Pelodiscus sinensis: one gene and its partner. The protein of the gene in region 1 purifies or fractionates together with the protein of each later gene. This does not show direct contact. Links are inferred from orthologs where the notes say so. Each region holds a gene or a part of one and is shown on either strand. Other genes may lie near its edges.

Region 1 (7,675 bases):
CCAGAGGAGGCTATGAAGGCTAGGATTATAACAGAGTTTAAAGAGAAGCTAGATAATTTCATGGAGGTTAGGTCCACAAAAGGCTATTAGCCAGGGGATAGAAATGGTATCCCTGGCCTCTGTTTGTCAGAGGCAGGAGAAGGATGACAGGAGACAAATCGCTTGATTATTGTCTTCGGTCCACCCCCTGCAGGGCACCTGGTGCTGGCCACTGTCAGCAGACAGGCTACGGGGCTAGATGGACCTTTGGTCTGACCCAATACGGCCATTCTTATGTTCTTAATCTTTAAGAACAAAATACTCCTGTCAGATTCACCGTGAAGCTCTTAGTTTCATATTGTGCATTTATGATACCAACAGAAATTCCCAGGGCAGAATTGGTAGAAAACAGAGAACAGAGCTCTGCAGAACAGAATGGAAATGGTAACTTGTTGAAAAGCATTCATTATTTTATAAACTTCTAGAAAATTTTTTAAAGTATCACTAATAAATGTCTCAGCTGATCTAAGAAAGCAGGCTTAGAGATCAAGTCTCACTTTTGGATGTGTGTTCATAACCAGTACTGGCACTTTGATGTCAATGCAAAAGGTTGCTGCACTAATAGAAGGGCTCTTTGGATTTTGTTCATTGCAAAAAGAACAGGGAATAGTTCTGGTATCCTGATACTATGTTAAAAAAGGACAAGGTTCTAGTCACTGGCACGGGAGTACATATAAGGTCAACACCAATGCCATGTCCTGCACATGAGCTAATGATAAGTACACAATTGCCAATTCTGCAATCCTAGAGGTTCAAAATCTCACACTTTCTTCAAGGGAAGTTGTGTGTAAATAATGTAGTATTGGAATAGTAAAGGCTTTGAGGAAACCGTTGAAATTGAGTTAGTAACATGTATACAGGTAGTCCCCGGGTTACGTACAAGATAGGGACTGTAGGTTTGTTCTTAAGTTGAATCTGTATGTAAGTCGGAACTGGCGTCCAGATTCAGCCGCTGCTGAAACTGACCAGCGGCTGACTACAGGAAGCCCGAAGCAGAGTTGCTCTGCCCCGGGCTTCCTGGAATCAGCCTCTGATCAGTTTCAACAGGCTGAATCTGGATGCCAGTTCCATACAGATTCAACTTAAGAAACCCAGGCGTCCCCAAGTCAGCTGCTGCTGAAACTGATCAGCGGCTGATTCCAGGAAGCCCGGGGCAGAGCAACACTGCCTCGGGCTTCCTGTAGTCAGCGCTGGTCAGTTTCAGCAGCGTCTGACTTGGGGACGCCTGGGGCAGAGCAGCTGCGGTGCTGCTGGGTTGCTCCAGTAGTGCCGCTCCTCGGCGCTACTGGACCAACCCAGCAGCACCCCTGCTGCTCTGCCCCAGGCGTCCTGATTCAGCCGCTGCTGAAACTGACCAGCAGCGGCTGAATCAGGACGCCTGGGGCAGAGCAGTGGGGGTGCTGCTGGGTTGGTCCAGTAGCACCCAGAGCGGCGCTGCGGTACCAACCGGCAGCGCCCCAGCTGCTCTACCACAGGCGTCCGGAGAAAAGCCTGGTCTGCTGGGAGGGGGGGGGCGTACTAGCTGCGCCCCCTCCCCCCCCCCCCCAGCAGACCAGGGAGATGCGGGCGGCGGACTGAGACGCACCGCGGTCCCGCCACCCGGGTCCTCTGCGGCTTTGCTCCGCGTCTCCCTGGTCTGCTGGAGACCAGCAGACCAGGGAGACGGGGAGCAAAGCCGGGGAGCAAAGCCGGGGAGCACGCGGGCAGCGGACAGCCCAGACGCGCCGCGGCTGTCCCGCTGCCGGCGTCCTCAGAGGCTTTGCTCCCCGTCTCCCTGGTCTGCTGGTCTCCAGCACACCAGGGAGACGCGGAGCAAACCCCGTTCGTAACTGCAGATCTGACATAAGTCGGATCCGCGTACGGGGACTGCCTGTAATGAAAATTAGTTGTGTGTGTATTTAAATATACAAGTAAAAATTATGCATTTTTGTGAATTTTTTTTAATTAACTGATATACAGTTTTGGCTCCTAAAGAGAACACAGTTGTGGATTTCCAAAGTAAGTGTCCCACAATTAGTTTTGAGCCCAACTTCTGATCTATGATTACAAAGCTCACTGAGTTATGTACTTGTTTGCAGACAAAAATTTCCATTTATGTTCATGAACACTTCAACAGCTCAGCATTCATAAGAAATCCTAAAATAACAAGTCACCAAATGTACCTAATAGAGGAAATATTTTTATATTTGCACAGAAACAGATTTCAGTTCTTTTCAGTTCAAGATTTCAGTTCTTTTCAGTTCAGTGTCTTGAAAATTGAGAGAATTAAGAACATTATTTTACTGTTCTTTTTAATGGAAATTAATCAAAAGTGATTTTAAAAGACTACATGAAATGAATTTTGAAAGTCTATATGAAATACACAAACATCCAAAGTTAAGGATATAATTCCATCCTTAACTACGGGTGCCTAAATATTTCAGCATTTAAAAGTAAATGGGTATGACCACAATACCACATGTGCTGCAAGACCAAGACACAAGAGGATGAATTGCAGATTGACTTTTCTAGTATTTACAGATGTACATCAGGCTCTTAACTCTCTTGAAGGTTGTTTGTCATGCCTTAATTCTTCTTTAGTTTGATCATATCCTCCCTTTAGATAAATTCCCATATAATTCATAAAACTGGTAATAGATAATGGCTTCACTCTGGAAGAAATGCTGATGAGCAACTGATTACTCTCTTACCACTGACACCTTTTGTGCATGTATGTCAGGGTGGGGAACGTTTTTTGGGTTGGGGGCTGCTGACCCACAGGAAGATCAGTCGGGGCCGCACACAAGTGGGAAACCCAAAAAACCCCCAAACCCTCACTGACATGGCCCCTGACTGAGAAGGACAAAGACACTCCTCACATTCCCTTCACATACCAGAGCCTAGTGGAGCCCAGGTAGTAGATTTGGTGTGCTTCAGTCCTTCAGTAGGCACAGGCTCCCCAGTGCTAGGAGGGGAACCCTCAGTGTCAGGGGCCGGATCTAGGCAAGCCAGGGGCCGGCATCCAGACCCTGGGCCTGAGGTTCCCCATCCCTGCTATTTGTGTTCTCCATTATAATTTACAAACGGGCCATATTAGACCTTTATTCCTTAGTTCCACTGCACTGACTAGACAAACTCCTGGATAGCGAGAATTTCTAAGGCAGAGCAAACATGACATAAAATATGCAGCGGAACTAGAAATTACAGGTACTAAGTAAAACAGATCAAGGGCATAGATGCGTTGCTTATTGACATCTCCACACCTCTTCCATTATTTACAGTTATCTACAGGTATCTCACTCCAGGAGGATAGTAGGGGAGTGAGGGCAAGTATGTATCTCCCCACCCTTCTCTTATTTTCTTACAAATACCCATCATAACTTCCAAACTCAGCTTTGGCCTTCAGACAAAACCCAGGCCAGCTGAGTCTTCAGAGAAAATCCTTTCAATGTAAAACATTTGCCTGTTAAACATTATACACGAACAACTACAATTCCTTTTTTTAAAAAAAAAACACCTTTGGAGATAGCTATGAGCACCTTTATTGCCACACTTCAGCATCTCTTTCCATATTTTAAAAGATTAAAATCCTGCAACCATTTGTTAAGGGCTGATATGCTGTCCAAAATGTGCAGATCCCAGCTTACAATTTTGAAATGTATCCCTGGCATTTTGTTCTTTACAAACACGTAAGACAGTGAGCAGTGAATTTTCTATTCTGCGGATCCTTCTCTGGAGCTTTCCTTCTCCCTCTCCCTCTCTTTGCAGTGTTCTGAACACCTTTGCTTTGTTCCACCTCCTCCTCCTCCTCCCTCCAGCTGTCCATCTTCCCAACCCTTGTAAATTCACTAGTTTTCATGATTACTTTAGAATTAAGCCATCTTCCCAGCCACAGCACCATAGAAGGAATATACAAATAACATTTCTTGTCGGTATAAAAGCATGCTTTTTACCTTCTGGATAGTTTGCTGGGTGACCTCCCCTTTGCCTCTCGGGCGAGCAGAAGCAAAGGCAACCGACATGGTGGGTTTTTTTTAAATGTGTCTATAATATATTGCTCCTAGGCTCTAATAATATTGTTATTATCTGGCTGCTATTGCTGTGCAAAGATTCTCCGCAGTGCATGGGGAGGGGAGCCGGCGCAGATGGTACAATCTGTGCCCTGCAACGAGCCAGGGGCACTGCACCAAGAGCCTGCATGCACCACCCTCGCCCTGATGCCTCTGATCCCAATGCAAGGTGGGGAGCCAGCTGCTGAGATTTGGGGAGGAGGGATAAAGCCAACGGAGTGGTCCTCCCCTCCTTCCCCACCTCCCCTTTGATCTGCACATGGTGCATCCCTGCTGCTGGGTTTCCTGTCGCAGGCGAACAGCATCTTTCTGCCTTTGCCAAGAGCGGCCCAGTGCGTCAAAGGCGTAGGCAAAGAAGAGAGCTACGCCAAGCGCGTGTGGAAACAGACACCGTGATACGCTACCGTGCCTACGCTAAATGCGTACGGAAGGCAGGCAACAGCTTGGTACGCCAAAGGCGTAGATAAGCTGCCTGGCGTTCCGGGTGGCCTGCGATTCTCTGGCCCAATGCGTACGTCAGGATGAAGACCCACCTACACATTTGGCGTAAGGGCTGCCTTCGGCGTGCGCTGTGAATGGCAAGGCTCCGGAAGCGGCGCAGGGCGGGGGATGAGTGTGCAGTTCTGAGGGAGGCGGCGGGTTCCGGTGCGTGCAGGTCGCTGGGCCCCGGCAGAGCGGCGGAGCCATGAGCTACGACCGGGCCATCACCGTCTTCTCGCCCGACGGCCACCTCTTCCAGGTGGAGTACGCGCAGGAGGCGGTGAAGAAGGGCTCCACCGCGGTGAGTGAGCGCCGGGCGCGGGCCGCGCGCGCCGCAGGGAATGGCCGCCGCTCCTGAGGCGAGGGCGGTGGGGGGAGGGGCCGGAGAGGGAGCTGGGGAGAAGGGGCCGGGGCAGGTGGGGAAGGGCTGGGGCAGGAGGCCTGTGGACGGGTGGGGGAAGGGGCCTGTGGACAGGTGGGCGCGTGCCTGGGGAAGTGGGAGAGGCTGGGGACAGCAGAGGAGGGGCCTGTGGAGAGTTGCTGGGGGGGGGGGGGTACCTGAGGAGGGAGCACCCCTGGCAGTGAGCCAGAACCGACCCCCTTGTCTTGGGAAGACCCCACAGCTTAACTGATCATGTGATGAAGTGGGTTTTGCCCATAAAAGCTCACGACTCTGTATATTTTGATTAGTCTCTGAGGTGACACAGAACTAGAATCCTAGGGATGGAAGAGACCTCTAAGGACGGAGATTCCACCACTTCCACCACTTCCATAGGCAACCCTTTCCAGTGCTTCACCATCCTCTAGTGAAATAGTTTTTTCCTAATATCCAGCCTAGACCTCCTCTACTGTAACTTGAGACCATTGCTCCTTGTTCTCACTATTGAGAACAGCCTCTCTTCATTCTCTTTGGAACCTCCTGTCAGAAAGGTGAAGGCTGCTATCAAATTCCCCCTCAATCGTCTCTTCTGCAGGCTACACAAACCCAAATCCCTCAGCCTCTCCTCGTAGGTGATGTGGTCCAGCCCCCAAATCATGTTGATTGGCCTCCCCTGGACCCTCTCCAATGTGCCCACATCCTTTCTATAGTGGGGGGCTATTCGTTTTTAAAGTTACAGATTAACACAGCTACACCTCTATGGTATTAGAAGATAGCTCCCTACCTCTAAGACCAAAAATGTAAAATGTAATAGCCATTCTAGGTCAGAGCAATGGTCCATGTAGGCTAGTGTCTTGTCTTCTGACTGTGGCCAATGAGATGCTTCAGAGTGAATGAACAGATAATCCTCATGTGATCCATATTTTGGCACCCATTCCCAGTTTCCTGCAAACAAAGGGTAGGGACACTTTAGAGCATGGTCTCATTAATTGTTTCTGTGCTGCTCACTTGCCATGGGGCTTGCAGCATACAACTTTATATCCCTGACTCCATTTCCTTATTTCTAAGATGGAGATAATACCTACTTTCAAGTAGCATAGACAGTCATTGTAAAATCGGGAGAATCCAAATTTGTGGTGATATCTGTTTACAAACTGGAAATTATAGAAAAGAGATATTTCTAAAATTTCTTCTAAAATGAGTCCCAAATGTGTTTGATTTTGCCTCGGTGCATAATAGTAACCTATACAGTAATATATGTTTGGCATTTTACAGGTGCATTAAAAATTTGGGCTTTTTTGGAAAAGTAGATAATCTGCATTTAAAAAATTATTTGATGCCAAACCTATTTTAAATACACTAGGGCTCTTCTTGAATAGTTGTAGTTGGCAGTAATATGGCTATAAACTTGTAGATAATTAAAAGTCATTGAGGCAAATGGGATGTGGAGAAATGAGTTCTAACAGTTCCTGCATTGTCTTTTTGGCTACACACAATTTTCTGCAAAACTAAATGGGGGGGGGGGGGAGGAGATTACATCTGGGGAAGGAGGTGTGTTTAAAATTTTTCAGGGTGACAGAAGTAGAAAAAAATTGATGACCTGATTCACCAGAGACCTGAAACTTGTGGAGCTATTTCACTTCACAAAATGCAGGGCAGTAGTGACTTAAGTGTAAAATGTCCCCTCTGAGTGTACAGAAGTGAGTGTTTACTTACTTAATAAAAACTTTAAAAACAACATATAGTCTGGTAGCTCTTTAAAGACTAATAAAATGAGCTTTTGTGGGCACAGACCACTTCTTCAGATGGCTGTGCCCACACAAGCTCATGATATCATCTACATGTTTTGTTAGTCTTTAAAGTACTACCAGACTATTTGTTGTTTTTTTTTAAGTTTTTCCTGTTACAGACTAACTCGGCTACCCCTCTGAAGTTAATTACTTAATGTAGTTTTTCCAACTTTGTGGGTTATTGTTTAACAAATGACAATGCTGAAAAACTGCATCTCTTTTTAACTCCCCAGTAACATAACAGCTGGAAAATCTTGATCACTTTCTAAAATATTTGCCTTTGGGATAACCATAACAAATTTCAAACCCAAGGGAGAATTTTAAAAAGTAATGAGAATGTGGAAGTGTCTAATGTAATCTTGGCTAATATGGTAAGTTGGAACAACTGCTGGAACATCATAAATCAAACTGCCAAGGAAGAACCACATTTTCCAGTCCTATATATGAAAAGCAGTGGGACTATGATTTTTTTTAAAGCTGTTTTCTTAACTTCAGGAAAGGCGAGGTGAGGGAAGGAGTGTATAGGATGATCTGAAAGTTGATATTCAGAGGAAGCAATGAATGGGTGGGCTACATTTATGCTTAGGACTATGGACTATTAAACAGTTTGATTTGGCTTTGACTTAGTACCATAATAAGTATTCAGCTTGGAATTAAGTTTAAAGTTCAACTATGTTACAAGCACTAATATATGCCTAGAGAGAATTATTCTGTGGCATACTTATGATAAAGCCCCGCACTTGCTGGTATATGTGCCTGTTTTTATACTTCCTGGTATGTAGGTGGTCTTATCAGTAAACTAGGGAAATACAGTAGTCTCATCTACGTTGTAAGATGGATGCATAACAGCTTGGATAACTATTCTCAGAATAGTTATGTTGGAAGGGCACACCAAGTGGGGGTTTGCAGGGATCAGTTGAAATGTCCAGATGATACCA
Region 2 (7,005 bases), on another chromosome or scaffold:
TGGTTCTTCACAGGGAGGGAAAACGGGATTTGCCAGATGACAAGAAGGGGTGATGATAAGGTATCAAGTCTCCCAGTTCTGTCTTGTTCAGAGATTTTCCATGGAACTCTGTTGCCCTCTGGAGGTTTATTAATGCACTCGCAGCACTATGACTAGCAGTTAACTTCATTTAAAGTCAGTTAAACTTTTCATGCAAAAACAATTCAGAACACTAAGTCTTTACAAATGTTTGGACAGGTGATCCAAAATTCAGAATCTTTGTTGTCAAGGGTGGTTTGTGTGGTAGAAGGGTAAGATGTGAGGGGGAAATTGAAATAAAGGTTTGGGAGACACTTAGCATTATATAATTTAGTATTACACTGGATATTCTTTAAGAAATCATATTTTTAGGGATGTATCTAGGCCAAAAATATTACTCTGGGATGAGCAAAGGTCAAGAATTTTGGAAAAACAAAAACAAACTAAAGTTTTTAAGATGGTTATTACAGATGTATTAACTTTTTAATATTTCTTTTCTTTTCTTTTCTTTTCTTTTCTTTTCTTTTCTTTTCTTTTCTTTTCTTTTCTTTTCTTTTCTTTTCTTTTCTTTTCTTTTCTTTTCTTTTCTTTTCTCAACATCAAGGCTACATCTACACTGGCAGCTTCTTCCGGATGAACAGCCATTCTTCCACAAAAACTTGATGGCTGTCTACACTGCACGAGTGTTCTTCCAGAAGTAAATTTACAGTATAGCGTTGTAAAACAGGGCTTCTTCTGGAAGAGTTATTCCTCTCCCCACGAGGAATAAGCCCTCTTGCGCAAGAGCTCGTCCAGAAGAGGGCAATGTAGACAGGCAACATGAATTTCTTGTGCAAGAAGCCCCTATGGTTAAAATGGACATCAGAGCTTTCTTGCGGAAGAGAGCGTCTACACTGGCATGGATGCTCTTGCGCAAAAGCACATCTCTTGCGCAAAAGCACATGCCAGTGCAGACGCTCTCTTCTGGAAGAGTTTTTGCACAAGAACTCTTCCGCAAAAGAGTTTTTCCGGAAGAAGCTGCCAGTGTAGACGTAGCCCGAATGAATGGCTGTCTTCTGTCATGAAATCTGTGTGTGGTAGCTGTCAATCAATAAAAACACTCCCATTCTTACATAGTGCTTTTCATCAGTAGATCTCAAAGCCCTTTACAAAAATTAAATCGTATATCCCCATTTTGCAGATGAAGAAACCAAGGTACAAAGTGTTGAAGTAAGTTGCCCAAGGTCATCTATCAGGCCTAAAAAAAGACCCAGTCCAGTGCTGTATCCTTTAGCAAAATGCAGGACAATGTAGCACTTTAAAGACTAACAAGATGGTTTATTAGATGATGAGCTTTCATGGGCCAGACCCACTTCCTCAGATCAAATAGTGGAAGAAAATAGTCACAACCATATATACCAAAGGATACAATTAAAAAAATGAACACACATGAAAAGGACAAATCACATTTCAGAACAGGAGGGGGATGCGGGGGGGGGGGGGGAGGAAGGAAGGTAAGTGTCTGTGAATTGATGATATTAGAAGTGGGGAGAGGGGATGTTTGTGAGCTAATGGTATTAGAGGTGATAATTGGGGAAGCTATCTTGGTAATGGGTAAGGTAGTTTGAGTGTTTGTTCATTCCTTCTCGGAGAGTGTCGAATTTTAACATGAATGACAGTTCAGAGGATTCCCTTTCAAGTGCAGATGTAAAAGGTCTTTGTAGCAGAATGCAGGTGGTTAAGTCATTGAGAGAGTGTCCTTTCTGGTTAAAATAGCAAGAAACTGTTTTTTCTTTGTGATCTTGTATCCTTTAGGATATTCTGCCACTCTGTACAAGCTACTTTACAGTTTTGATTGAAACATGAATTAGGGCACATGAAGAAAAATGTGGGACTACTGAAAAGGATGTAACTGTTTGCATTATAGGTTCATACACTGACCCTTAAGTACTATGATATTACAAATAAATTACAATAATATTAGCCATGCTGTCCACCATAACAAACGAAAAGGCAAGATTTATCCAATTTGCAGCCTGATCCTTCACTCTGCCCAGCATCATATATATCAAAATATTCCCGAAGAGTTTAATGGCCAAAAGAAAGTCCCCACCATCCAGCATGATCTCAATGACTCATTCAAGTCTACAGGAAACAGTCAAGGATGAAAACACTATGGAGCATGCATCTTACAACCAAAATTCCCTTCCACTCAAATGTGACAAGCCAGGTTTTGAGTTCTCTCTTGTTTGCCAATTTTAATCATACCTTTAAAATTTTAGGTGCCTTTAAAATTTGAGAGAAAAGCCTGGGATGCTCAGAACCCTATGTGGAAACAGGAAATCCAGCCATTGCCAAATTGCTCTGCTCTGCTTTGAGGCTAAGATTCACCTTATCCCAACCTCCATCTCTCCACAAAGACCTTCACATTCTGGTCACAGATGGGAAGCTGTGATTCTTTGGAGACAGAGGATGAGTCTTCTGCAGCATGAACTTTGCTCTAGCTGGTGAATAGATGGAAAAAACACAAGAGAACAATTAAAGAATTTAAATCATGCAGAAGATGGCACAAAAGGAAGTCAAGGCCATTTCAGAATGCCCTTGGAGTTTATACAGCCAATACTTTAGAGATGTTTAAATGACTAGGAACATCAGCATTTCAAGAGTTGGGTCAGGGCAACTATGCCAGTTTGCCAGGCTAGAAAGCAGGCTCTGACAGTTCCTATCACACTTCTAGGCTATGTCTACACTCGCGGCTTCTTGCGCAAGAAGTCGCCAGTGTAGACAAAGCCTTAGAGGGAATGCTTTCAATACTAAAAACTGAAAAGGCGCTATGCCTATTTTGCAGAGGGATTGAGTCTGTTGACTTAATAGAGACCTCTTCCTTCTCACCACCCTCTCTCATACGGATTGGGCAAGAGCCAGAGATGGGTCTGTCAGGTTTGCGAGGGTTCCTCCCATTTGCTGAATACGGAGAGGTCTACCATGCTGTGTTGGTTTTGGGGGAGCAAGGAAGGAGCTGACTGGAAAGGGGCTGACCTAGTTCAGTGTATGTGTGGTAGGGATGTGAGGGTATGTTTACACTACCCCGCTAATTCGAACTAGCGGGGTACTGTAGGCATACCACAATTGCAAATGAAGCCCGGGAATTTCAAATCCCGGGCTTCATTTGCAATTGCGGTATGACTACATTACCCCGCTAGTTCGAATTAGTGGGGTAGTGTAGACATACCCTAAGAGTTTAACTGGTTAACCAATAAGGTGATGCTTATCTGTTCCTGTTAACAGTTAAACTCTGCTAGGGAGCATAGGGCTGACAGCCCATGAGGCTGGCAGCCAGTAGTGCTGAGGGCCAGCAAAGGTGAATCCATGGGGCTGGAAGTCCTCAAGACCAGTGGGGCAGGGAGCCCATGGGGCCAGTCGCCGAAGACTATGGAGTCAGAAGCCTGTGGAGCCAGCAGCCAGGAGCCTTCCAGCACCCTTCCTTCCCTACATCCCCAGGTAAAATGTTTAACTGTACAATCAATAGAATTTTGATTGGTTACATGGTTACTATGTTTTTATATCCCTAGTGTGTGGAGGGTTGTAGTGGTATGAAGTGTGTTGAGTTTGAAAGGGGCATTTCCCACTCAGTGAGGCCAGGGAGAATGGGGTAAGCTGGATATAGGGGGAACTTCCCCAGTGTGTGATTCTGAGGGAACCTGGAGGGTATGCGGAGTGCAGGGGTCTCCCATTCTATGGGGATAGCAGGCGTGTGGGAAGTAGGGTGTGGAGGGGAATTTCCTTCTCTGCAAGGTTGGGAGAGATAAATGTGGGAGACAGGGTGAGCTGGGTGCATGGAGATCTTCCCCACTCTGTGGGGCCAGAGAGGAATGATACCGGAAGGAACAGGGTGCAGGGCTAGGATCCCCACAGGGTAGGGCCAGGCCTGGAGGGGGGGCATCCCATGCTCATTGTGGCCAGGATGCAGGAGGGACTGGACAGGATACTGGGAGCTCCCTGCTCAGAAGGGCCCAGATGCAGGAGGAGTTCCCCGCTTGGTGGGGCTAGAGCCGTGCAGGGGTGGACACCCAGCGTGGTAACGCCAGCGGGGGGGCGCCTTGCCTGGAGAGGCTTGGGAAAAGGGGGCATCTCTACTAGGTGAGGCCAGGAGGTTGTGGGGATACGGTGGGAACAGAAGGGGGGGCGGGCTTCCCCGTGGGGCCCGCGGACGTGCAGGGAGAACTCCCCGCTCTGAGGGTGCAGAGGAGGCTCCCGGCTCAGTGGAGCCTGAGGGGTGCAGGGACGGAGGCGGGGGCGCCGGGTTTCCCCTGGGCCCGGAGGGAGCGCGGGGGGCGGGGACGCCCATGCGGGGCGGGCTCAGTGACTCGGCGGCGGCGCAGAGCGGACGCGGCGGGCAGGAGCGCGGAGGACGCGGCGGCATTGCCGGGTGAGGCCGGGCGGACAGGCCCTGCTCTCGCTCGCCCCCTTCTCCCGGGCTGGTCTCGCCTACCTGCCGGCCGCGCTATAGCGCCCGGCTTCCTGGGCCCGGCTCCCGCTGCCGGCGAGCCCCTGCGGGCGGGGGGCTGCAGCGGGGTGGGCTCGTGGCGTGACTCTGAGCCTGCCCGTGCCCTGCTGCGTGGGTTTATGGGGGGGGGGGGGGGATCCGAGGGCTGCCAACTTTGCCGACCGGGCACCTTTTGCAGCAATGGCGTCCGGTCCGTTCGGTCGGGAAAGTTGGCAACCGAAAGCCGGGCCTAATCTGAAGTTGGGATCTTGTTTGCTCCCCTGACGGTAAGGCCGTGGCCAACTGGGGGCGTGCAATGAGTGTGAGGGGCGCTAAGTGATCCACCAAAGTCCTCCCCCTGGATTTAGTTTGTAGGGGAAGATACAAATATTGGGTTACAAAATGGGAATCGCTGACTTGGGAATGCCAGATGCCAACTCAGGGGTGCCCTTAAGTACAAGACAGATGGTTCTACTAGCCCCGTTTTATCCCAATCCTCGACATTTGGGCTGGGAAGTTGGGCAAAATGGTTCTGGATTTGGGTCCTCTGGAGCAAAACCATGCTCTAGTGCAGTGTTTCCCAAATGGTGTTCCGCGGAAGTGAAAATATGGGTTCCGCGAGAAAATTCCATTACAATAACTACTCAGCACTGTGTGCCAGACAGTCAGTGGTGCAGTTGCCTGTTATATATCACGTAAGGGGTTCTGCAAAATTCTTTCGAGTTTAAAAGGGTTCCGTGGCCAAATAACATTGGGAAACACCGCTCTAGTGGGATCCAGGAGACCTGGCCTTTGGGCGTCAGGATGCAGGACTGGTAGGACTGTATAATCTGTTGCATGTGACACAATAACAGTTTCAAGCAGTGTGAAACTATGAATGGCATAAAAGCCTGTAAATAGCAACATGTGTGTGTAGCCTAAGTTACTAAAGAGGGTAATGTCAATTCACTTCTGAGTCAGATACACTCAGACATCACATGTTCATGATTATTTATATACAGCTGCACCAGTTGCTTACATCTATGGGCATATTTATGCCATTAAAACAACACTGATATTTTAAATTTAATTAAAATATTGAGCCTTTTTATGACTCTTAGTTAATGTTTTATATCTAATACTAGTATATTATTTTACTCAGCATTTAAGACGTCTGCCATGGCAGCAAAATCTATTGTGACTTCAAAGCAGAAGGAGGAGGTGGTGAGGGGTATCCTAACAGAGGTGGTATGCACGGCCTTCTCCAACTCCATTCTTGTGGTGGTGACGCAGTATGGGAAGATGGGGACGCTTGTCTCTGTGGACCCCAGCACAGTAGCCAGTGATATCAGCAAACCGTCACTCACCACGAAAGTGCTGCTGGGCACGGATGAGGTATGTGGCCCTGAATATTGAGGGGGAATCTCTCACTGGCTCAGAATTTGAGCCTGCTTGGGCTGCCAAGCAGCTGATGTGCAGTTGTGCAGTGGTAAGATTAAAAAATCCTGTACTAAGAGGGGTGTAGTTCATCAGTACATTTTGGGTATTCATGTTAAAGGTATGTTTAACATAACAAATGTCTAATTAAATCTACACTGAAAGCGTATAAGGGTTCTGTCACTTCATACTCGGTTATTTTTATGGAGCTTTGCCATTCCCATTGACTTCAGTGGTGCTGGAACAAACATAATGGCCTTCACTATCCTTTCTCCAGTGCTTGTCACAGTATTTTTCCCCCATCCGAGCACTTTTTCTCCCCACTTTTACCTCTTCCAAAATCAACTTTGGTACCCCTTCCCTCAACTGTGCTTACCACCAGTTTCCTTAGATAAGACAGTTATCCAATTCATTTTAATTTAAAATGAGTTCTCAATTACTATTTTTCAGAAACAAGAGAAAACAATAATAAATTTTGGATCAGATAGGCACTAAATACAAAGTTACAGTATACTGCAAGTTTACCTAGTTTTACAGTGCTGTAGTAGAACTATCTAGTGTTGCTTGCTAATCCCAAACAGAAAAAAAACCAAACTCAGCAATGTGACAGGTTGCTCATCCTCTTAGCAGCTGGTCTTTGTGTAGCCCTCACCCTTCAATAATAAGCTCTCTTTCCTTCATGTGGGATGTGTCTGCCTGTAGACAGGATGGTTACAGCGTTGGTGTGATGTGCGCTTGTCAACATGGAACAGAAAAGCATATTCAGTTTCTGATACTTATGTTAATCAGTGGCACTTCCTGTTTACATATGGGAGAAATTATTTCCCCAGATCTTGCGTAGGTGTCCATTGTCTGCTTCTTTGTATTATATGTTAATTAATGTAAACAACCTTGAGGAAATACTTCCAGCCCAGCCTTTTTTGGTGATGCATGCTGCCAAAAACCGCAAATCAGTTCTGAAACAAACTCAAACAAAAATAAACTTTAGATCAATATATGTGGCAAGATGGATGTGCCAAAAGGCATATTTTTAGAGAAGCCCTAATTAAAAGGGGTTATATCCCTTCTTTCCTGCTAATGCTTCACTTTTTAAAAAAATTACATTA

The links. The genes of interacting proteins can lie anywhere in the genome.
Region 2: the proteins of PSMA7 (region 1) and PSMG3 purify together in Homo sapiens (affinity purification with mass spectrometry; 3 studies listed by BioGRID and IntAct, with this or other methods). This does not show direct contact. The link is inferred for Pelodiscus sinensis from reciprocal best matches to the Homo sapiens genes PSMA7 and PSMG3.

The regions. Positions count from the first base shown.
Region 1 is NC_134728.1:9,376,060-9,383,734, forward strand, and holds the start of PSMA7 (proteasome subunit alpha type-7), read left to right. Parts: upstream 1-4,674; 5' UTR 4,675-4,773; coding exon 4,774-4,869; intron 4,870-7,675. Other genes in the region: SS18L1 (calcium-responsive transactivator), read right to left, coding at 3,972-4,040.
Region 2 is NC_134726.1:27,444,450-27,451,454, reverse strand, and holds the start of PSMG3 (proteasome assembly chaperone 3), read left to right. Parts: upstream 1-4,005; 5' UTR 4,006-4,137; intron 4,138-4,311; exon of another isoform or gene 4,312-4,426; intron 4,427-4,636; exon of another isoform or gene 4,637-4,770; intron 4,771-5,624; 5' UTR 5,625-5,641; coding exon 5,642-5,857; intron 5,858-7,005. UniProt on the Homo sapiens protein: Chaperone protein which promotes assembly of the 20S proteasome. May cooperate with PSMG1-PSMG2 heterodimers to orchestrate the correct assembly of proteasomes.